3 linked regions of the Oreochromis niloticus genome follow. The protein of the gene in region 2 purifies or fractionates together with the protein of the main gene of each other region. This does not show direct contact. Links are inferred from orthologs where the notes say so. Each region holds a gene or a part of one and is shown on either strand. Other genes may lie near its edges. The genes, in order: slc30a1a, csgalnact2 and slc30a5.

Region 1 (7,968 bases), on a different chromosome or scaffold from region 2:
CCATAATAACACAGTTTAGGTTATCAAATTGTAAGAAATTGCAAGGACTAAGGTAACACAGTCCCTTTGTCTGGACTGACTATGCTTATACCCCACCCCCCCACCCCAAGGGCCCATTCTGAGCATGGGGACGATGCACACTGGACGATTGTTAATCATACACTTAAGACGGGGGAAAAAAATCATGTCACCTGACAACAGAATTCTGTGCATTGTCCTGTTGTTTTTGGTCATGTGATAAGAAAACATGTATTCAGTTTTGAATAACATTAAACCCCACTTTCCAACACTTCGTCAAAAACTCCCAGTGAACCCTATTCGGTTTTGTTTTTCTCCTGGTAAAAACCCTGGATGCCATCAAATGGCAGCCAGCTGTTAAATACGGTACCATTATTAAGAGCGAAAGGGGAAAAGTTCATGTGAAACTACATAACAATGTTGCAGATTTCACTGCTGAAGACTACATCTTGTGACTGAATCTGTGCTATATAACTGCCCAGGGCCACACTCAGGAAAACAACATACCAGATGACAAAAAAAAAAAAAAAAAAAAAAAAAAAAAACCAGCATGCAGGAACCTAAACGCAGCAAAATGCTGCTCAGTAATTCACATTAGGCAAATTCAGTTAGTAATGGCGGGCGGCGTGGCAACACTAAGCTGGGGCAACGGCACCTGAGCAACGGTGGCTCGCTTCCATTCCAGGGACCAAGCTGGTCCATTCATCAGCGGCTAATGGTGTGTCTGGGGCTGTCGGCTCCACGGCTCCACTGATGTATGGCCCAGTAACAGCAATCAGTGCATGGAGGGGCGGGGGATATAACCCCCATTTATTGAAACTGGCAGGGCCTAACAGTGCGGGGGGGGGAGAATAAATGAGCTTCTGTATGTTTAACCCTTCAGTTAGACTGACCAGCAGAAAGGGGCACAGAAGCTCTCCAGGGCTGCTGTGAAACTTTTTAACTGACATGTAGACACGAACAGGAGGTTATCAGTACTTTGAAAACAATCAGCTTGTCTGGTAAGAAGCGTTTAATGTAACAAAAATGTATGCTGGACAAGCTGATTGGCCAGCTGCTGCCCCGCTTTGGCCCTTGACCAGTTTTCCATCCACTCAATACCTTGTAGAAGCACAATTAAATTAAGAAGAAGTTAAAATAAAAGCTGTCTGTATGCAGATGAGTTTGTTTAGCTTCTGATTCTTTGCTGACAGCTGACAGCCAGGTGAGTGTAAAGGGTGGGCACCTACCTACTTCACTGCATTTATTTTTAAGCTTTAGTTACTAATTATTTAGCAGATAAGGTAACTCACTAAGCTCTTCAGGGGGTCACAGTCAGCGTGGAAATTCAGGTAAAAACTGACCATCGAGTTCAGTTTGACTTAACTGTGTCAGTCAGAAACTTCTCGTTATCTTTAATTATAAGCCAGAGTGAAACCCGATTCTTTGCCCGGATATGTCACCAACACGGAGACCATGTTTCCAAGGATAGAATGACCCAACAAATATGAGACGCCAAACATATGTCAAGAAAAAAAAACCCAAAAAACCAATACGGATTAGTCACTTGGGGAGTTGTCAGGGCAGGCTGGAGATAAACTGATGCACTGTTACACAATCTGGAGTGCTAACAGTGAAGATAAAGTCTGGCACATGTATTCAGATTAATGGTGGGACAGTGAGGGTGGACTGTTCATTTCAACACTAAAACACCAACAACTCTTATTGCTCACCATTTCTTGGTCTCCCATCGCCTGGGCTGTTGTGATTTCCTACCAAGTTGTTGGTCTCCTCTCCCGAAGACCCGTTTCCAGCCTTCGAGTTCTTGCTCGTTTTGCCCCGCTTATTCTTACTACCATGAGAGTGCCCTCCGTGGGAGTGTCCGTGGCCTCCGCCCGCGTGGCCGTGGAACAAGCAGAGCCCCAGCAGGTTAACCAGAAGCCCCGCGGCACCGACCCCGGCCACCACTACTGGAGACTCGATCTCGTGGGGCTCGGTGAAACGCTCGACCGCCTCCAGGACGATGGTGAAGCACAGCGCCGTGAGAAAGACGGCGTTGACCAGAGCCCCCATCACCTCCGCTCGGATCCATCCGAAGGTGTTCTTGTTGGTCGCCTGGGTTTTTTCGGCGAACCGGACCGCCACTAGAGCCACGACGAGTGCGATGACATCCGACAGCATATGGAAGGAGTCCGACAGCATTGACAGGGACGAGGTCATCCGACTGACCACCACCTCCACGATGAAAAACCCAAAAGTCAATGATAGCATGCACAGCAGCCGGGCACGATTGGGTTCGCAAGCCATTTTTCCTTCCTCACAGTCGATTCAAGTTTAAGTTAGCGTTGAAGAAATCAGCAGGTTTGAGAAAGACCAAGAAATCCCCACGACATCCGCTGGTTGGCTTTCCCGTTTAACTCCGGGTTGCGTTAAGCTAGCTTGGCTCCCTGTGACAATACGATCGCTGCTAATATCATCCGCGTAAAACACTCTTATTCGGCGACGGCAGCATCACTCGGCTACATCTGAGGACAAACACACACCGAATCAATTCGCGATTAAAAAACGATTCAGCAACCGTATAAATACCAGCACCTTCCTCGCTCGTTTTGCCGACGAGCTCCGCTTTGCAGACGGCTGAAACTTTGCACCCGAGCCGGTAAACTTTCCACACGGAACACGGCACAGAGGGGGACACGCCTACTACGATTTTCGTTGGTCGACGAGCTACAAGGAGGAACGTAATTGGTCACGTTCTGCATCTCTTGCAAGTAGGCGGCGCAAAGAAGCCAAACAACGGCGGTTGCTACGCACGCTAATGGCAAATGTAATATCGCGATGAGGTCCGTAACTGATTCGTAAATCTTGGCGTTTCAGCTGAAACCAGGTGACTGCGAAGAATCCTTTCAGTGCTTTTTAAATGAAACCAAACAATATGTTAAAACCATACAACATTCTCAATATCTAAAAGCTGTCAAAACCATAAACTTATGTTCCCTGTTCAATATCATGTGATTCTTTAATAGACTGTGTCTATTTTGGTTTTTTTATACGAACCCCCTGACATTGTGTTTGCTATTTTGTATTTGCATATCTGTATTTTGTGCTTTGTCAATAAAGCGTATTCAAAAAAAAAAAAAAAGGTGACTGCGAAGAATGACAAAAACTGAGCCTTTACCAGTAACAAACACTTTTTTTACACAATCACTGGTCTTTACTCAGCTTTTAATCACGGAAAATCCCTTAATAAATTTACTGGTGTTCCATCTACATACTGTAATTGCTTCCTTTATTTTATATTTTATTTTCCAAAAGTCCGTATACTTACGCTGTAAAATTAGTTAATTTTACATTAAGTTAAATACAAGCTGCCCCCCCCCCCCCCCCCCAAAAAAAAAAACAACCAAACTAGCAAACAAAAAAAACTCGCTAATCAAGCCAGTAAGCTACCAGCTTCAATGGAAATAATGACAAATGTAACAATAAATTACATCTAATCTGCTACTGACTCAAAGCAAAGGCTTGATTGCAAATTGCACTTGAATCTCTTTTCATGGAAAAGTGATGACCCCTTGTGGGAGCTAGTGTTATATAAAAACAATTCTATTACTGTGAAAATGATCAGCCTGTATATCTATCTCTTTTTTATATACATCTATTGCTACGCCAGTGTGAAAAACCACAGTAGAAATGAGTTTTGGCCCAACTTAGACCCACTACAGTCTGTATACATATGAAATATAGGAGTTGGTTTACAGAGATCCGACTCCACTTGTAAAACAGCCCTGTGATAGACCCCAGGGCAGATTCTTTTTTTCTGGCCGGGCAAACAAATTTATCCCTGTTAAAGTAACATAGACAGCTGTAATGTCTCTAGGCAACAAACAAGAGAAGCCCACATTTCCACACAAACTGAGTGGATAAAGAATTCCTCATTTATCCGTCATTTTTGCTTGTTTATATATCAAGTGCACACATATTAGAGCAGGGGTGGGGAACTCCAGGCCTCAAGGGCTGGTTTCCTGCAGGTTTTAGCTCTCACCCTCAGTCATCACACCTGAATCAAATGATTAGTTCATTACCAGGCCTCTGGAGAACTTCAAGACATGTTGAGGAAGTAATTTGGCCATTTAAATCAGCTGTGATGGATTAAGGACATATCTAAAACCTGCAAGACACCAGCCCTTGAGGCATGGAGTTCCCCCACCCCTGTATCAGGGTATGAGTGCATATTTTCAACAAGTGGTAACAATGTTTCAATCAAAAGACAAACTTCTCTTTGCGTTTTTGTAAGCAGTTCAGAAAGGCTGACTGTGAATGGCCCCACCACACATTTGAAGCCGTGGTAGAAGTGAGGTCACTAATCAGTCAGTTATGCATCATGGATAATCTAAACCCTCTGCACAACTTACTGTACAGGCAGCAGAATATCTTCTCTAACAGGATTCAGCTCCACTGCCACCAGAACACCTCTCAGACCACTTCCTGTTTCCTTCTATAATACCTGTTCTGTTCTATAATACCATATCTGTTTGGCAGATACTAAAATAATTACATCATCATTTCAACTGCTATAAAAAAAAATGCAAAAATTAAAAAAAAAAAAAAATCCCAAATATGGTATAGAACAAGTATTTATCATCACATCATGCCTACTTTAATGTAGTAATGATTACAATCACTTTGTTTATTGGCATCACAGGATCATGTCATTCCACATAGTCTCCCTTCTTCTAGAGATGTCTCTAAAGAATTTATGTCTACAGCCATAAATACAGCAAAAAACTATACACAGTACACTGATAATCACATTAGCTGCCCGTGATAACACACTCACTCATCAGACTAAATAAGACAGGAACACACACATTCACTACACGTCCACAGCTACACATGAACATTTTCATCCAGTTGTTATGACTCCAGGCCTTCAGAAGCTTTCACGGTCACATCTGTGCGATCAGCGCAGGCCGAGGATTTGCCTGCTCTTGAGCTGGCACATCTTCTCCATTTCACTCAGAGCTTGACTCCGCTGGGCCGCTGCCTGCAGCCTCCTGAGCAGCACCAGCTCCTGGGACGGCGTGCTCTGCAGAGCATCGGGCCGCTGGTTCTCTTTGCTCTCACCGGCAAAGTGGACCTTCTTCTTACCCGGAGAGAGGTTCTCCGCATCTAGACCAAAACAGTCGAGTAAACTTGTTAACAAATCACAATCTCAACAGCTGTGATTTTGAAGTGTGTCGTGTGAGCTTTTAGAACTGCACCTTTTTAAAAAATAATTTCTTTATTGTTGTATAAAAAATATTTACAATTTATATAAAAAAATAAATACATTTGATCCAAAGTCATTCACATTGTCGACACATGCGTTAAAACACATGTTAAAAATAAACTGCTCGGCTCTGGTCTTGGTTCAGTAAGTTCAGAAGTCTTCGCTGGATTCCCATACCTATGTCTTTGTCATTGATCGGTGTCAGGTCCCTGTGGTGCTGTAGGCGGCTGTAATTTTTCAGCAAACTCTCCACTCTGAAACGGTCGATTAAAAATAAAGGGGAAAAAATAAAAATCAGCTGGAAAGACCGCCAAAGAATGGTTAGAATGGAAAAAAAAAAAAAAAAAAAAAAGAATCGCTTAAATCGTTTCCATCTTAAAAGTTTTTTACCGTGCGAGCTTCTCATTTGCAAGTCGTTCACGAACACACAGCTCCTGCTCTCTTCCTGTCATTAAAAGACAAAAATGGACAGATTCAGTTTGGGAATTTATCCCTCACTTTTAAAGAAAGTACACCCTCTTTCAAGTCTAAACATCGAGACATCCTCAGAGGGTCTTAAAAAAAATAAAAAAAAAAAAATCAGGTAATATTTAAAAGTTTTATTATGTCTTCACAATCTTAGCATTAAAAGAGGAGGCATTTTATTTTTACCATAGCTGTATGTGTGACTAACAGTCTTTTATTTGGACATATTTCTGGGTACACACACTTTTACACTGCGGTGTGTAATCTCCACTGTCAGCCAGGAGCTGTAGGTGTAGAAGTAGGTCATCGTTCGGTTGCAACACTCCAAGCAACATGAACAAACCTGTTCCATCCACACAGGTTTCTTCAACTACACTTCCACCCTCTAAACAAGATGTAACTAGTACTTTCTAGGGTATTACTCAACTTTACTTATTGCTGCCAATGTGAAAACAAGTCCATAAACATGAGATAATACTGATGAGTCCTCTTTGCAGAAGAGGATGTTCCTGTTAGGATTAGCCTCTTCAAACTGATGTAAATTAAGTACTTCTCTACTAAAAATACAATCCACAGCTTTTCTAATTTCTCCCAAAATCCAGGCCAGACTACAGCGATACTGACAGACGTAGGCTTGAGCTATGTGCGGCTCAAAGCAGGGCTTAAACAGGTCTTACTCTCCAGCCGCTCCTCACGTTCTTTCAGTGCTGTTTCTCGGTCCCGCAGCGCCTGCTCCTTCAGTCTGAGCTCCGTGGCCGAGGCGGGCGCCGTCTCACCCGGTTTGTGGAGGGGAACGTCAGAATCAGCCGATCTCCTTTGGGGTCGCGACTGTGCCTTCCTCTGCTCCTCAGCAACCGCCTCGCTCAGCAGGCTGCTCTGGAGAATAGATTCTACAGAAGGTCTCAGATAGTCCTGCCAAGAGAAGGGGCCCATAAATGAAACATAAATAGCCTTTTTTCTTCCTGCCAATGTGGTGCTAGTGTAGCTGCCAGTGGTTCCATTTTGAGAACCAGTCCCCATTTCCATAAGTTTGAGGTCCAGTTATTATGTAATGCTGCTAGCAGAGCAGATATCTGATGGCACTTTAAGGGTGGAAATGTTTGGAAACCATTCCAGATCAGACACCAGCATCACGTCGGTGCAAAACCATAGACCGCATAAAAGATGGATGTAGCCACCATGACATCAAATTTTAAAGCCTTGAGCTCAATGTTTTCACTGTCACAGCTTGTCTATCCAGGGTGTGTGTGTACCCCGGATAAACCTCTTTTCTGATTCTACTCCAGGGCAGCTGTAGCTTGGGAGGTAAAGCTACAGCTGCCCTATTTGTAGAGTGGGTGGTTTGATCTTGGCTGCTGCAATCCACATGTCAAGTGTCCTTGGACAAGATACTGAACAACAAATTGGCCCAGTTCAGGATCTACCGGAGAGTGAGCAAGCGTGAGAAAGTTAGAAAAAGCACCTAAAGGCACCGTATGAATGTGTGTGAGAATGGGTGAATGTGGGTGGTGGTAAAAAGTGCTTAGAGTTCTCATTTAACTAGAATTTATAAAATTAACTTCACGTTTTATTCAATGACCTAAAACTAGCACTTGACTCCATAAAGTCATGAGGAAAGTGTTTAGGGAGGGAGCTGAGGGCCAGTTTGCCATGGACAGCACTAAAACTAGAGCAGTTGCCCCCTGCAGGCTGTTAGAAAGAATGCAAGGTTTGAAGTATTTCTGCACAGGATTCCCTTTTCCAGATGTGGACATGCAGTCCATCTTTTATACCGTCTAAAATAATCCAATAGCTCAGGCACCATATCGTGTAAATTTTAAAAATAAATTCAATTCCAACCTTTAAGTTGAGCATTTTGCCGAGCAGGGTGTTCAGCTCCTCAGAGTACCGGTACGGGATCCTTCTGAACTTCCCCTCTCTGATCTTTTCTGCCAGCTCTTTTTGGTTGTAAGCAGTAAAAGGAGGCCTGGAGAGGAAAACGAAAAATGCAGGAAAAACTGCAAGATCTGCAGCCAAACAGTTTGCAGTGGGAAAATCAGCTAAAGCGGAACAGCTGGAAAACTTACGATAAGGCACAGAGTTCGTAGAGCAGACATCCCAGAGACCAAATATCGGACTTCTCGTTGTATGACATCCGGTTTATTTGTTCCTGACAGAAGAAAAGAGATAGTGTTAAATGCTTATTAAGCTATTTGTCCCTATTTTTTTTTATCATGAAGTAAAACAAAGATTAGCAA
Region 2 (7,709 bases):
TCAGGCTCATCTAACTTATATTTATAATGATATTTACTAAGCCTCTGAATTACTTTTTAGAGTGTTGAAAGGTGCTCCTCTTTTCAAGGTATAACCTCATGCTCCGATGCTGGAAGCAAGAACCAGACAAGAGGCCGACATTTGCAGACATCAGCAAAGAACTGGAGAAGATGATGGTGAAAAGTCGGGTATGTTGAAGCTATAAAATACCTTGTAGTACTTTATTTGTTTTCCTCCCCGGCAAGGAAGCGGGGGAGCTATAAATCAGCCTCTTTCTGTGTGTTACTGGCGCGATTTTGACAACACTTCAGTGATGATCTGACAGATACAAGTTTGAGGGGTTTTATTTTTCCACTTTACGCTCCTTTCAGATTTGGAGCTAGTCTAAAATAAGCAGTGTATCATTTTTTAAGGACAGCATGTGCTTTGTCCAGCACACACACAGACACATGCTGTGTTATGCTGTATGAACTGTCACTCTCCCCAAAACTCCTAAGATACCATAATTAGTGTTTGAAGAGCAATCCTAAATGTGGCCTTGGGCAGTGTAATCACAGAGCATGCCAGTCAGGCTCCTGCTGCAGAAGTGAGGCTAAATATAGAGCGTTTGAGCAGATGGGAATGCAGGCATCCTATAACGCAGAGGGCTCGTTCTTCACTGTTATCAATACCAGATAATGAGCAAGACGCTGGATGCGGTAAAGAGAACAATTTGGCAGAAATGTCTGCTGGAGCTTGCAGTCAGTGCACGGGTCACTCGTCCGACCTTTGCATGCTACAATCCCCCTCCTCCTTAATCAGCCTAATCACACCCTCATCTGCTCTTGTCAGGATTACCTGGATCTGGCGGCGTCCACTCCAGCCGATGCCCTGCTGTACGACGACGCCCTCTCTGAAGAGGACACACCACTAGTGGACTGTAATAACGCCCCTCTCCCTCGAACCCTCCCCTCCACATGGATTGAAAACAAGCTCTATGGTAGAATCTCCCATGCATTTACTCGATTTTAGAAACAGGACACACTACACAAGCTCTCTTTTTTGGCAAGTTGTGATTGGCTTTTTTTTTTTTTTTCCCGTAGTCAAGTGTGTGTGACTGTGATCTAGGCATGCCTTTCGCTAATGCTGACATAGCTCCCATTTCATCGTAAATGAGAGGCTCAGCTAAAAAAAAAAAAAAAAAAGCTCCTGTGTCTTGACTTTTTTTTTTGTTTTATTCGGACCTGCTTCTAATGTACACAAGCACTGACCAAAAATTGCTATATTTGTAAATATTGAATATAAATACCCTTCATTCTTATTTAAAATCCACTCCTCATACTCATGCTTCATCTGCATTTTTAATTTGTAAATAGTTTTGTTTTTTTCCCCCATTCATTTCCACATTGTCCTCATCTCGTCATTTATTTGCACTGGAGGAAACGGTGTGTAACATTTGAAACAGGTCCTCACTGATTCAATCACTCATTGTGGTTTGAATTTCAGATTGTGATAAATTTCCTGTCTTTCTAATGTACATTAGCTCTTAATCCATTATGATGAACAGAGAAACAGTAAGGCTTTTGAATGCAACTCTCAGTTGACACTGATTACAAGTAGACAACATGTTGCATATTGCCCCAAGCGAAATGTAGGGGCAATAGTAACAATGTAGGCTTAATAAATGACAAAAAAAAAAAAAAAATTAACGAATTACATTATCATTTATTCTGTTGCATATACAATACAAAGCCATAACTTTACACTTCTTAAAATCAGATCAGGATTTGTTTTGGAGAGTTTTGTTTGAGAACCTTACTGTCTGCACGCTGTTTTTCTTTCACTGAGTGCAGAAAAATGATGTGTTCTCGTTTTTAGGCATGTCATACCCCAACTGGCCCGAGACGAGCCCGGTACTGCTCAACAGACATGATGCCACTAATCCGGTCTTTACAAGATATGCCAATGATAGTGTTTATGCAAACTGGATGGCTTTGCCTTCACCCGCAAAAGCTGTGGACAAGCTTGATAGCTAAAGACAGACCGACCCTGTAGAAAAGACGACTAAGTGGTATAGATGTGTATATTTCTGTAAGACTGTACATAAACGATCTGATGCTAAAGTTGGTTCCCTTTTATTTCTGTTGCACGGGTAAGCAACCTTTCCGACTGGGGTCTTTTTGCTGCGAAACCGGCTGGACCAACATAGACCATGCTTCACTCAGCTCTTCAGTATGTTAATTATTATTACCTCACTGGTTATGTCGGCCAAACTGTATCACTGCATGACTATTGTACCAGATTGTATGTCAGTGTCAATGTCTTTTAAGTGCCTGTGCTGCTTCTACAATAGCTTCCAAATGTTCATGTGTGACTTTGAAGTTTCAAGCCCAGGAATTAAAGGGGACGCCTTTACCATCACCTGTTGTAGAAAGCTGGGATTGAGTGGACGAAAACGAAATGCTGAACTTATTCTGAAAATTAAAAAAAAAAAAAAAGTTTCTACTTTAGAGGATTGTGCTCCTCGAAATGTCAAAGACCCTTTATTTTGTGTTTTTCCCACGAGATGTCTTGAAACTGGTCTCGCCAAAGAAAAGTAAAGCAGACATGTTCAGTGAATGGTTTTCTTACTTTTGCTCTTGTTTTTTCACATTGAAAACATCATCTTTTGAATGCCACTCCAGTGAAAGGACACGAGGATTAATGTAGACTTAATGTTATAGTTCACATTGTCCTTCACTGTAATGGCAGCCTTTGTGGAAAAATATGATTCTGTAAACCAACTCGTGTCCTTGCTGTTATGTTGTTATTATTTGTTATGTTCCAGTTATTAATAAATATTAAAAAATGTACAATGTCTGTTCCCCTTATATCTGTGAAAATAATTACAGTATGTTTAGCCAAAGTTCACCCCTCAAATATTATTTGTTAATTATACACAATAGAAAATATTTCTTTCTAAATTAGTATTAAACATTTAGGATGCCTGACCATTGCAAGGATTCTGATACTTTATTTCTATAAGTTTCAACACTGCTTCACATTTCTTTTGATTGTAAGCACATACAGTCACCTGCTACTTCAGTAGCTACACCTGTTCAACTACTTGTTAGCCCATGTATCTAATCAGCCAATCACACATCAGCAACTGAATGCATTTAAGCATGTAGACCCGGTCCAGATGACCTTCAGCTTGACCATCAGAATGACGACTTTGTCAGTGATTTTGAAAGTGGCACGGTTGGTGGCTGGTCTGAGTACTTCAGAAACTAGGAAATTGAGTGGGATTTTCCCCACACAACCAACTCTGAGGTTTACAGAGAATGGTCTGAAAAAGAGAAAATATCCAGTGAGCTGCAGTGGTCTGGATAAAAATGCTTTGAGCTGATGACTCGAAGCTGATAGGAAAACAACAGCAACTCAAATCACTATGCAGAAGAGCATTTCTGAACCCATTGGATGAGAGAAGATTGGATAGTCTGGACATGGTGGTGTAATAGTTTGGGGGATATTTGCTTTGGGCCCCTCAGTACTAACTAAGCATTGTTTAAACACCACAGCCCACCGATTTATTGCTGCTGATCATGTCTATTCCTTTATGACCACAGCGTACACATTTACCAATCGCTGCTTCTAACAGGACAATTTAACATAGGAAAAAGCTCAAATCATCTCAAACTGGTTTGAACATGACAGTGAGTTCACTGTACCCAAATGGCTTTCACAGTCACCCAATGCCACTTCAATAGAGCACCTTTTGTATGTGGTGAAATGGAGAATTCACATCATGGATGTGTAGCGTTATGCTGTTATGTGACTTTGGACAACATCTCTGAGAAGTCTTTCCAAAATTAAGAGTTAAAACAGTTTTGAACTCAAAAGGGAGTCCAAACCAGCCCAGTGAATATATATAATACTGAAAAGCAGATGAAGGTTTTGGTGTTGGAGTTGAAGCACGAAACTAGATCTGTACTTTTTAAAAATCTTTTTAAAGATACCCGATGTGTGTGTGTGTGTGTGTGTGTGTGTGTGTGTGTGTGTGTGTGTGTAACATTAAACGACCCCCTTTACTTTTTTTACACCTACACATAATACTGACTGGTTAGACCCACGTTACAGAAACATCATATGATTAAAATAGAAAGTACAAGGAAACGATTTGTTTATTAAAATAGTTTCTAAGACTATTTTCCGCAGTGATTCTGGCCTTTCAGATAACATCTGTCTTCTTCTCTCCTAATTAAGAAAATGAAAAAATAACGACTATAAACAGAATCCCACGAGAACATTTCCTGGCTTATTTTGTGCACCACAATGAGATCATATCACTTGTTTTCGAACATTAAACAAATTATGTTTCAGTGCTAATTCAATCCAGAGCTGTCAGCTAGTCCATCACCTCAGATAAGAGGTTTGCCTTCTCGGTCTGAACAGTGAAACGGGAAGAAAATACAATAATCTCTTAGAGGGAAGGTTAAATATAGCTTTTTTAAAACAACAGATTAACGTTGTTACGTTATTGGAAGATGCGGTAGTCTGTATGAGAGTTAAAAAAAAAATCATTGGTGTGTTCTAATAATAACAATAATGCCTTTAGAGCTACAATATAATAATAACGTCGTTATTTTAATAAAAATAAACAATATTATGAACCTGGAGGATCGGCGTGTTTGATGACGACACTCGTTAGACACGCTGCGATTGGTTAGTTTTTAACCGGAAGTAGGTTACAACCCACTCTTTTCTCTTTGCTCCGTGGCATTCTGTAACACAACCTACCTACTGCTGCTAGTTTAACACAAAATGCAACAGCTGTAATGAGGGGCAGGAATGGACAAAGACGGGATTAGGTGAGTGAACGTTTGGGGAATGCTATGATTAACAGACAGGCTTTCTAACGGGTGAGAATAAAAACCCGAAAGCGAAGTGAACCTCGGAACATCGCTAAGCTAGCAGCAGAACTGTAGCCATGTCCGGTTCGAATTTTTTCAAAATAAGGGGATGTGCTGCCTGTAATGTCGCAAATTTCAAAAGAATTGAAGGTGCTGAAATTTGCAGATATGCCACTAGGGGAAAAAAATCTAATTATCAGAGGTTTTGGGCTAAGAGTTTTTCTGGAAATATAGCTAACTTTTCTCTGTCGCCATACCAGTAGCTTAATTAGAGTTTGAAAGTCTCCCATCATTAGCATGACTTGGTTCTGTTGTTTTTTAGGCAGTCTGGTGTTACTTTGTCCTTGACTTAAGCTATGTTAAAATCATGCAGTGTCATGTTGACATGCTTTCTGTGAGTCAGCGGATGGTACTAAAGATACTTGTATGTGACGCAAAACGAAAAGACACATTGTGGCAGGGCTGTTAAAGCCCCCCCCCTCCATACTCCACACTCCCCTCCACACACACACACACACACATATACACACACACACACACACACACACACACAAAATCCCCCAAACTGTTTAACAACCACTTTTTAAAATCGGTTCCTCATTTTTGTGACATTTCATCAGCAGAACAGTTTTGCGTTAGACATTCTTTGTGCGAGTAGTTACAATCTGAAAGGCTCATATCTTAGTTGCCTTTCAGCATGTTAATAAGAATCATTAATATTTTATATTTCTGTGTTTGGTGTTAAACATTCAAGATCTCATTTTTAGAAGAAAGCATTAAGGTTAAAAAAATAAATGTACAAAAAAGTATTTTGACAGCTACGGCTTTTAAAACATCAGCACAAGCTCAGTTCCAGTTCTGGCTGGATTCAGAGCCCTGCTGATTTCATTATAGCTGTCTAGAGACTGATTTATATCTGGGTGTGAGAGCCTGAAAACAGTGTTACTTTGTAAGTGTAAGCCTGGAGCTGTGTGGCCTTCAAGAACCTGCTGCACATGGTATCTGGTTGATACGATATTAGGCGTGGAAATTCCTGAAGGCTGGCTTTTTACAAGGGATTCTTGACTGGTGAGCCTTGTGTGACATTTACCCAGCCTGTAATTCAAAAGGTAATCACAAATCGGCCTTGGACGCTGTGTGTGTTTCACTTGTTTTGTCCACTTTCATTCCAAGAAGGTACCTCTCGGAATCTGGAGTGTTTGGTCTTGCCGCTTTGCACAAAGCCCGTGCATTTATTTTGAAGAGAAAAAGGCTACACCGGAAGTCAGCCTGTAGCTAGCTTTCTGTGAAGCTCGCCCACCAGTTTCCTTGTGTGTGCTGTTGTTTGGCTGAGAGCTAGCTGGCGTGTGTTAGCTGTCCAGGTGTAGCTAATCCCTGCTGTCCCTCCTTCCTCAGGTTTAAACGGAATCTTTGAAGTGAAGAAGTCGGATGCATGTTCAACAGAAACTTACTGACTGATGGAAACTGTAGATAGCAGGTTGGTTTATTTGAAAGGTTGCTTAAAGGTAACACATTAAATGTCATTGTATGATTATCTGCTGTTTTGTCATCACTGTTTTTAACAAAAGTCCCTGTATTGGGATCCTGGATTGTGGCTTTTTTTTTTCCTGATTGTGGATTTCTGTGTTTTTAACAGCTGATCGTTTTGTGGATTTACACAGGACCTATGTGTGGAAATACTGATGCATTGGAGCCAAAGAACAAGATCTCTTTATTCCAAAATTACCTACACACCCATGTCTCTAAGATGATGTATAGAAACCTGTTTTAAGTAATGTGAGCAGTCTGGGTGGCGAAGGGAATGCAGGCTTGTCAGCTATAGCTTTTATGAGAACGTGATGCCCAGGCGGGGGTTGCCACTCCAGGGTCGGGTCCGCTGGCTCTTCCTGGGTCTTTTTCTGCTGCTGGTGTTGCTGCTGTTTGCATACCTGCTGGAGTGCACTCCACCAGCAGACGTCAGCCTGATCCTACCGGGCCCTGTAGGAGAGACCTATGGAAAAGAATACTACCAGGCCCTGCTCCAGGAACAGGAGGAGCGCCACCTGAACCGTGCTGCCAGTCTGAAGCGGCAAATTGCCCAGCTTAAGCAGGAATTACAGGAAATGAGCGAGAAGTTGAAAGTTCTCCAAGAGAAAAAAGAGCTTCCAGGAGTTCCGGGTCTGGCCGATAAAGACCAAGAGCCTGGAGATTTGCTGGAGTACTTGCATTCTCAGATCGACAAGGCTGAGGTCAACACTGGAGCTCGCCTACCAAGCGAGTATGCCTTGGTGCCGTTTGAGAGTTTTACTTCTTCCAAGGTGTACCAGCTGGAAATGGGGCTGACGCGGCACCCAGAGGAGAAACCAGTCCGCAAGGACCGCAGGGATGAGCTGGTGGAGGTCATCGAGGCCGCACTAGACATCATCAACAACCCTGACGAGGAGGATGGTGTGGAGGATGATGTGCCAATGCAGAGGCAAACCTACACAGATGGTCACTTTACTGAAGGTGAGACTCTCAGTTAAATTACAGACTAAGAGGTAATGACTGTAGCCAGTGTTCAAAATGAACCTTTTATTAACAATTTCCACTCAGTGAAGAGACTCGTTGAAAAAAAAATTCACCAGCAAAATCTATTTTTAACGATCCAGAATAATAAACTGAGCCTTTGTTCCAAATCTGATTTGGTTAGTACATTTTATTAAGATAAAGGAGCACTGGGTTGCACTGATATACACTATCTGACTAACATTGGCCAATATTGCCTATTGATTGATGTTGGCGTATGACAGTTATCAGATTTAGTGAACAGTCTGTATTTAGTAATATAAATTTTGCACTGGTTAAATGTTCAAATTG
Region 3 (7,972 bases), on a different chromosome or scaffold from region 2:
CTTGCTTTTATATAGAAATATACCTGAGTTGAATGAGCATAGGCGACCATTGTCGCAAGAGACAGATTGCCCACCACCAGGCAACTTTCAATTGAAAGTGGTTCTCTAGATGTTGAGGGGCTTGAACCCTTGGTATCTGTCACTGAATGCAAAAAAAATCTGTATTATTTTTGGACAACCATATAACTGAGTCACAATTGGTCTAAAAAGGCAGTGTTCATATAGAAAGATAACCTTCATATGTTTAATTTAAGCTCAAAGATGATTACAGTGAATAGTAGTCCTTCATGTAGATCATGCTTGTGTGTTGCAGAAGCTGGCTGACGATTTGAAAGCAGTTCTGACAGCACACTTGGAGGTCATCTGTCTGGGACTGCTCATGACACCAGCTCACTATGATGCCTACGAACTTAGGAAAGCCACAAAGGTAGGATCTGTGGTTTATGTACTAAACCTTTGATTTGGGGCAATATTACTTCTTTTGTTTTAATTCATTAAGCAGTGTTATAGTTTTAATTTTTTTTCAGTTCATTAAGAGGTTACGTATTTAGACTAAGTTTATCATTTAGGTTGTGTTACTATGAACTGAATTAAATGGTGATCACAAATTTGCTAGTGGGTTCAGTATGGGCCAAGAACCCTCCCAGCAGCACACTGAACCATAGTTTGAACTGAAGGATATTTTTATGCTAATGTTAAGGAATAGCTAAACATATTGATCAGAATAAGTTATAAAAAAACTACTTAGTTGTAATTCTGTTTGAGGGATATTTAAATAAATATTTTTTTCTTTCTGTTTATAGATTTTATTATTTTTGTTATTTGATTTATCCAACAGGGTATGGGCACAGATGAGGAAGTTCTGACTGAGATTTTGGCAACGAGAACAAACCAAGAGATTCAAGAGATCAAGAAGGCCTTCAAACAAGGTTTTATCACAGTCATGTGATATCACATGGTTGTTGTTTGGGTTTACTGAACTAAGATTGAATTTTATACAACATCTTAGATATCTAGCTGACACTCATAAGTGTCTCCAGTGTCTGTAGCTGCTAGCAAGCTAGACTTATTGTAGTCACATTTGGCCATCATATTGTTGTAAACTGTTACCATTATTCTGAAATTCTTCTGATTCCTCAGAGTACAAAACAGAGCTGGAAGAAGTTATTAAAAATGAGACCAGTGGCAACTACACCAAGATCCTCCTGGAATTACTAAGTGGAGGTAGAGATGAGAGCACTCGCGTAGACAATGATCTTGTTTCAAAAGACACAAAGGTAAATTCATGTAACCAAAATCTTAAACTATTTTGCTTTATGTTGTCACCAAATTATGTGAGAAGATGTTTTGATGGTTCCTATCTGTGGCGTTTGGCCAAATATGGACTAGTTTCTCTTGTGCACATAATGTAACAATCACAGAGGGTATAAAAGATGGTCATTAATTCAAACATGTTGTTGGTGGACATTAGCACACTTGGTTAGCAATCTACACCCATAAACTGTGCTTTATCTGCTAAGTACCAAACTAATAAAGCAGTCCTTTGTATCAGGCTGTAAATATGTTTATTAGTGTAGTAATTCTAGGGACTTTACCGTGGAAGTCAGTAGCTGACTTTTGCAGCCAGTCTCATGTGGCCACTAGAGGAACTGCAGTTAAGTATAAGTCATTATGATTATCATCCATTTTTTTGTCTGTCTGTAGACGCTGCTGACATTATGTGAGCAGGGCAGCAAATTCAACGTGTCCACCTTCATTGACTTGATGACCAAGCGCAGCTATCCTCACCTCCGAAAAGGTGAGTTCTTGAAAAGTCTGAACACTTCTTCTTGGTTGGGTTTGACTCATTAGACACAACGTACATCTAGAAAAACAGGTGGAACCACACTCTTGCAGGTAGGAGGTGAAACACACCCAGCAGTGTGAGAACAATACAGAGTCAAAGTCAGTCTGGATTTTAAGTGAGTTATGAAGTCTGTTTACTATTTAAAGCTGAGGAATTTGGAACTAGTCCTTCTTCTTAATTATCCACCCCACTTTGTGCAATGTATGTATCAGTAGCAGCAAAACAGTCCCAGAGCTTGATGCTACCACTGCTGTGCTTGACACTTGGTGCAGTTTTCTTAGGTTTGAAAGCCTCAGCTATACTCTTCCAAACATACCTCCTGTCACTGTGGCCAAATAGCTCAATTTTGTCTCATCAGACCATGAAACCTTTCTTGAGAAGGCATTTAGCGCTTCCATGTGGGCAGCTGTAAATTTCAGTTGAACTTGAAGGTCTTCTTCCAAACCTCAGCAAAATGGTGACCCTTCTGAATAAGTTGTATTTGCATAGAGTTGTTTGAACTGATGATCCTGGAATCTGTCGTACAATCGCATAAATTTCCAATCGAAGCTGCTGTTGGGTGAAGTAATGCGGTATTTGCTTTCTTCTTTTTTAGAACTTCAGTCTAATGTTTCACTGTTCACTAAAATCTGAATGTTTATGTTTATAAATATTTTAAAACCTATTTATTTCCTCAGCTGCTAATTAAATATGCTGCATAGCCTTAAGAACATATTTGGATTTGGTCTAATAACCCAGAATTACCTGTTTGTCTGTTTACCTGTTAGTATTGGAGGCATATAGCAAACAAACGGACGTCAAATTACCCACAGTGCTGAAAAAGGAGCTGAAAGGAGACACTGAAAATTGTCTCATCGACCTTGGTAAGTTGATGTTTGTCCTCATCAGATTATGTAGTTTTCATTTTATTTTCTGTTCAAGGTGGGGGTGGGCTGAGGTCAAAGGACGTGCGAGTGATGAAATCCATCCTCTCGTGAGCAGGAAATGTGTATCACAAATGTGATGCCATAGCACGTCTTGTGTACATTTAGATCAGGAAATATTTAAGATTGATTATAACCTGAAAACAGATTTCCACGGTATGGGCTATAACACAGCTGTGAGGTAGCATCTGGACTCAACTTGAGATCATTTTGTAACTGTTTATCTCTCTTTGATGTCCATAGCAAAATATGCCTGGAACACACCAGCTGTCTTTGCCCAGAAGCTTGTTAAGGCTTTAGAGGTGTGTATTTTTTTTTTCCGTGTGTGTGTGTGTGTGTGTGTGTGTGTGTGTGTGCGCTTGTGTGTGTATTCATCCATTCAGATAAATGTACATTGATTTATGTATTTTAAAAGGAAGGTTCAAGTCTGTGAGTAGGCTGGATGTCTTAAACTGTTCAAGCAGTTTGAAACTGAGCACTTCTGCAGTATCTACATTGCAAAACAGATTCACTTTTTCACTTATTTACTTACTTCACTTACTTGTTCCCTCAAAAATTAAGTCCCCTTAAAGACTTAAGCTATATTAAGTATACAGTACTTAACAGCATACCAAATAACAGCACTAGTTTGTTTTAAATTTACTTTATATAACCTTAGTTTAACAAATGGCATTTAGAAAATGCCACGATGAATGGCTTAGACTTTTGCCTCAGACAGTTGAGAGTACTTGTAAATACTATTTAGTTGTGTTAGGATACTGCACAGCTACAGGAACACCGCGAGTTGCTGAAGGAGTCCGTACTCTTGGCCACCCAAAACACTGAAAGGTTAACTCTTGAATAAGTGTTTGGAGCTTAACGCCAACATAACGTCTGTACAGCATAACCTTTTAGATTATTTTTTACAGTATTCAATAACCAAAACTTTGCTCTGCTCTCACAGAAACCAGGCACGTGTGAGAAAACTCTCAACAGGATACTGGTGAGTCGCTCTGAGGTCGACCTCAAGAAGATCAAGGAGGTATACTGGAACTGTCACCAAAGATCCCTAAATGATGACATAGAGGTAAAAAAAAAAAAAAAGCAAAACACAAAAAACCCATTGTTATTATGTTGCTTTTACTAATTGTGAACTCAAATGACAGCATACAGTATCTGAATATTTCAGCTAATAATATCTTTGTTCCACAGAAAGACACCAAGGAGCACTATCGGAAAGTCCTGCTTAGCCTGTGTGGAGCTTTTTGAACTTCATCTGTTACCATTTTACTCTGGAAACCGAGACCAACTTATTCCACTAAATACTCACAGCTTTAACTCTGAAATGCATGACTACTCTGTTCTTTTGAGATTAAACTTTAATAAAGAAGTTATTCCAGCACCAAGCATTTCATGCCTTCTTTCTGGCAAAATGTATTTCTTCTTTTTCTTTTAATGTCTTTTGAAAGATAACGTATGAGGAAGTTGTAGAAATGTATATTAAAATATATTTGGTTATTGGAAATGCAGAAGATAAAATGGGAAATCAAGTACAGTATTTTCTATTTAATCTTCAAAATCTTTACTTTGTATCAGAAGTAAGGCTTTTATATTACATAAGCCCATAGCCTCCACCTACTGGCAAAACCATCTAGGGTTAAAATAAAGTTTTGAATTGGTTAATATCATGCACATTTTTTTTAGTGCTTTGAAAACACAAAATGCTTTTTTAAAAACAACAACAACAAAAAACAACAACAAACAACAACAAAAAAAACCCAAATCTCCAATGCCAAAATGTATGAGACTTTTATTTGAAAGGACTGAAAAGAAATGTGGTATGTTTTGCATCTGGTTAAAAAATTGCTCATAACACTGAGTGGTAAGCAGCATTTGGTCCCAGATAGCAGCACTTGGTTTACGTCTCCCAGGAGACAAAATATGAACTCAAAACTCATTGCTGGAAACCCACAGGAGAAACAAAAACATACAGAGTAGAAGAAAAACAAACCGAACAGGCGAAGCAGAGGAGCACACAGCATAAACGGAGGACACGACACAGGACAACTTTTTAAAATATGTTTGTATGTTTCTCTAGAAAGAAAGAAAGAAAGAAACGTCGAAAATGTTTATAAAAAGTATATAAAACAACTTTCTAAATAAAGTTTAAAAAAAACCCTATCCTCATCATCTGCGCAGGCGCAAGGCTGACGAATAACTGCACGTGACGTGGACAGTTTACCGTGTCCGGAAGTGTCGTGGCAACACGGGCAGCTTGGGTGTTTGATTTTCTTTATCCTGTCATTGCGGATTTTCTCAGTTATTGCGGCCACTTCAGACTCATAACTTTTCATTATCTTTTTCTGACCGCGAGTCCACATGCGCCTGGGTCACGTGAACCGTACACCGAGGACGTGACGCCACTGGAAACTTTGGGGGAAAAGTGGCTAGCTAGCCGGCTAATACGCTAACAAGGCTACCAGCTGATTGTAGTTTACACATCAGACACTGACGGGAGGATGAATAGGACGCAGAAGAAGCCCGTTTATTTTCTCCGGCAGTGAACAGACAGTAGTTTAAGCTGACTCTCCCGCCAGCAGCGATGTAAACGATGCACAAGTAACAGATGTAACTGTCGGTGGAGTGGAGCTGGTGGTTTGGGGAGCTTGAAAATGGAAGAAAAATACAGCAGCAACGTGCTCTCAGGGGGTCAGCTGGGGATGGTCGAAGTGCCCGATTCCAGGTATGTTCTCCACCCTTCATTAAAAACTCAGTCAGTTTAAACTGATTTAACTGTTTTTATGTCACGGAATCAGTCAAATCTCATCCATGAGTCTGTAGTCCATATGTTAGCGTTTATGAAGAATTGATTACGCTATAAATTGTCCACAGCAGTGGAAAACCCATTATTATTTCCCATTGTTTGTTGTGTCCGATATTTGCAACCAGACACCATAGTTAAGAACACTATGACAAAAAGTGTTCAGATTTACTTATAAACTAACAGTCATTACATTATTATTAAGTATTATTAATTAATTAGTATTAATTATGCCCTTAATCTGAGCGGTATGTTGGTATAAAAACCTTCAAGATTGACTCTAGCATGCTATGTTTTAGTGGACATCTAAAAATTATCAGGGGTTGTCTAAGAATTGGTTTATCCAGTCTGTTGTGTCACGGGCTGTGATGCTGAATCACCAGCAGACCACAGCACATTACACTCCATTCACCACAACTAACTGAGAAAATCTTCAAACTATAGCTTAGGAAATAGAGCTTGATCGTTTTCTTCTTCTATACACCCTCTGTCGTTGACTTCCAGTTCATCTTGTTGTAGATGTGGACACATGGGTACTTGTATTCCTCCACCACATCAACATCCTGTCCCAGGATATGCACAGCTTAAGTTGTTCACCATCTCTCTGGTCTTATTCACATTCAAAAGCAGATCATTCCTCCTCCTAGATCAGCGGTCCCCAACTTTTTTGGGCCATGGACCGGTTTATGTCTGACAATATTTTCACGGACCGGCCTTTAAAGTATCGCAGATAAATACAGAAACAGCATAAAACCAGTACCGGTACAAAAAAAGATGTAATAATAACACAGGAAAACACCCAGGGAAACAGAGTTAATGATAAAAAACGGTAAAAAATAACGATTAAAACCCTGAAAACCATGCATTTCACACCCGAGTCTCAACTCTCACGGCCCAGTACCAAACGACTCACGGACCAGTCCATGGCCCGGGGGTTGGGGACCGCTGTCTTAGATCACACCACAAAAGACTTAGAGAGTCTCTCTATGTCTAAAATCATTCAACTAGTGCTCTGTACTCCTTCTCCTGCCCATGACTAATGAATCCAATCACTGCATAATTTTCAGTGTTTCTGTAGGTGGCATGACGTGTTGTTATGTTGAAAGTCTGAGATGCAAAAAAGGAACACACAGACTCTCTTTAAACCATCAGTGAATTAAAGTTTTTCTTTTTACCTGTCTCTACCTCTAATATGGTCAAGACAAAAAGAGATGGTGTTAGATTTTAGGAGGGGCATCAGTGTAAATGACAGTTGATTTTACTCTTATCACCACAGTCTGTACTAATGTGTAGTGTGTTCTTTCCTTGTACAGGTTAACCAGGTACATTGTTCTGCTGGTCATCTCGAAGGTCCTCAAAGCTCTTGGGATCTTTGAGTCATACGATATCCTCAAAGTGGTTCACATAGTTCAGTTCATCTTCATACTGAAATTAGGGTAAGTACTCTTTGTTTGTTTTATGTATTATTGTTAGTTAGGGCTGCTCTGTAGTGACAAAAATCTTAATTACAGTTATTCTGGTCAATTTTTGTTGACTTCACACACTTGCTCAATAAGAGCGATGAATAGATATTTAATGTCCATCATCTCAGCTGAACGTGTTACCAGCTGCAGTGAGTGAGTTTGAGGTTTTTGAGGTGGAGTTAAAAGACAAAATGTGATTATTCACCAAGACCTTTTGCTAATTTTGTATTTATGGATGGTGAAAACATGCTGATACTTTTTTTGGTTGTTTGTTTTGGTCTTAGGAGTGCAGTGTTTCTGCTTTTTTTCCAAAAACCTTTTTCATCTGGAAAAGTCATCTCAAAAAGACAGGTTTGTTGGACTTTACCTTTTAAATTTGTCAGTTTTTCAACCTCTAATTTTCCTGTTCTTTTTCCTGTTGTTCATTAGCTTGAACACGTGAATGTTTGCTAAATATTTGGTGATTTTGTTATAGCCTTTCTTATATATGTCATGCTTAAGATATTTTAAGTCTGGCTTTGCAAAAGGAAAAAAAACACCTTGTGCATTGTGTTAATGTCTGTTGATGAATCTGCTTTCTTTGCAGTGGATAAAGTTGTTAAAGCATGCTGTTTTCAGCTGTGTCATATCCCTCCTGGGCTTCTTCGGCCTAACTCTTTGTGGACCTCTTAGGTAAGAAGTAGTTAAACAGTAGTTAAATAAAACAAAATGCAGCATTAGAGGTGCAGGAAAAACAGTTCAAATCCCTCCCCGAGTCTCATTGTGTTTCTTTGGACTAAAAATGGTTGTTTGGTGGTCTCTTGAAAGAAACAAGACAGTCAGGTCAGCCAGAGGTGTACAAGGACACAACCCTGCTTTGCCTGGCAGAATTTCCACTAGAATTATTTGACACCTGTCTTTATGTCTTTATATTTGCATGTTTCTTCAGTTAGTACAGTAG

Evidence for each region.
Region 1: the proteins of csgalnact2 (region 2) and slc30a1a purify together in Homo sapiens (co-immunoprecipitation; 3 studies listed by BioGRID and IntAct, counting the BioPlex papers as one, with this or other methods). This does not show direct contact. The link is inferred for Oreochromis niloticus from reciprocal best matches to the Homo sapiens genes CSGALNACT2 and SLC30A1.
Region 3: the proteins of csgalnact2 (region 2) and slc30a5 purify together in Homo sapiens (co-immunoprecipitation; 3 studies listed by BioGRID and IntAct, counting the BioPlex papers as one, with this or other methods). This does not show direct contact. The link is inferred for Oreochromis niloticus from reciprocal best matches to the Homo sapiens genes CSGALNACT2 and SLC30A5.

What each region holds. Positions count from the first base shown.
Region 1 is NC_031980.2:13,547,096-13,555,063, forward strand, and holds the start of slc30a1a (zinc transporter 1a), read right to left. Parts: upstream 3,055-7,968; 5' UTR 2,305-3,054; coding exon 1,731-2,304; intron 1-1,730. Other genes in the region: serine/threonine-protein kinase Nek2, read right to left, coding at 4,958-5,166, 5,444-5,520, 5,657-5,711, 6,409-6,643, 7,571-7,697, 7,798-7,880. UniProt on the Homo sapiens protein: Zinc ion:proton antiporter that could function at the plasma membrane mediating zinc efflux from cells against its electrochemical gradient protecting them from intracellular zinc accumulation and toxicity.
Region 2 is NC_031978.2:25,404,225-25,411,933, reverse strand, and holds the start of csgalnact2 (chondroitin sulfate N-acetylgalactosaminyltransferase 2), read left to right. Parts: upstream 1-4,682; 5' UTR 4,683-4,829; intron 4,830-6,155; exon of another isoform or gene 6,156-6,266; 5' UTR 6,267-6,376; intron 6,377-6,507; 5' UTR 6,508-6,709; coding exon 6,710-7,358; intron 7,359-7,709. Other genes in the region: proto-oncogene tyrosine-protein kinase receptor Ret, read left to right, coding at 89-188, 832-979, 1,858-2,015. UniProt on the Homo sapiens protein: Transfers 1,4-N-acetylgalactosamine (GalNAc) from UDP-GalNAc to the non-reducing end of glucuronic acid (GlcUA). Required for addition of the first GalNAc to the core tetrasaccharide linker and for elongation of chondroitin chains.
Region 3 is NC_031972.2:31,370,368-31,378,339, forward strand, and holds the start of slc30a5 (proton-coupled zinc antiporter SLC30A5), read left to right. Parts: upstream 1-4,961; 5' UTR 4,962-5,420; coding exon 5,421-5,491; intron 5,492-6,882; coding exon 6,883-7,005; intron 7,006-7,316; coding exon 7,317-7,383; intron 7,384-7,618; coding exon 7,619-7,704; intron 7,705-7,972. Other genes in the region: annexin A1-like, read left to right, coding at 314-427, 839-929, 1,141-1,277, 1,705-1,798, 2,614-2,709, 3,013-3,071, 3,713-3,835, 3,961-4,017. UniProt on the Homo sapiens protein: Together with SLC30A6 forms a functional proton-coupled zinc ion antiporter mediating zinc entry into the lumen of organelles along the secretory pathway.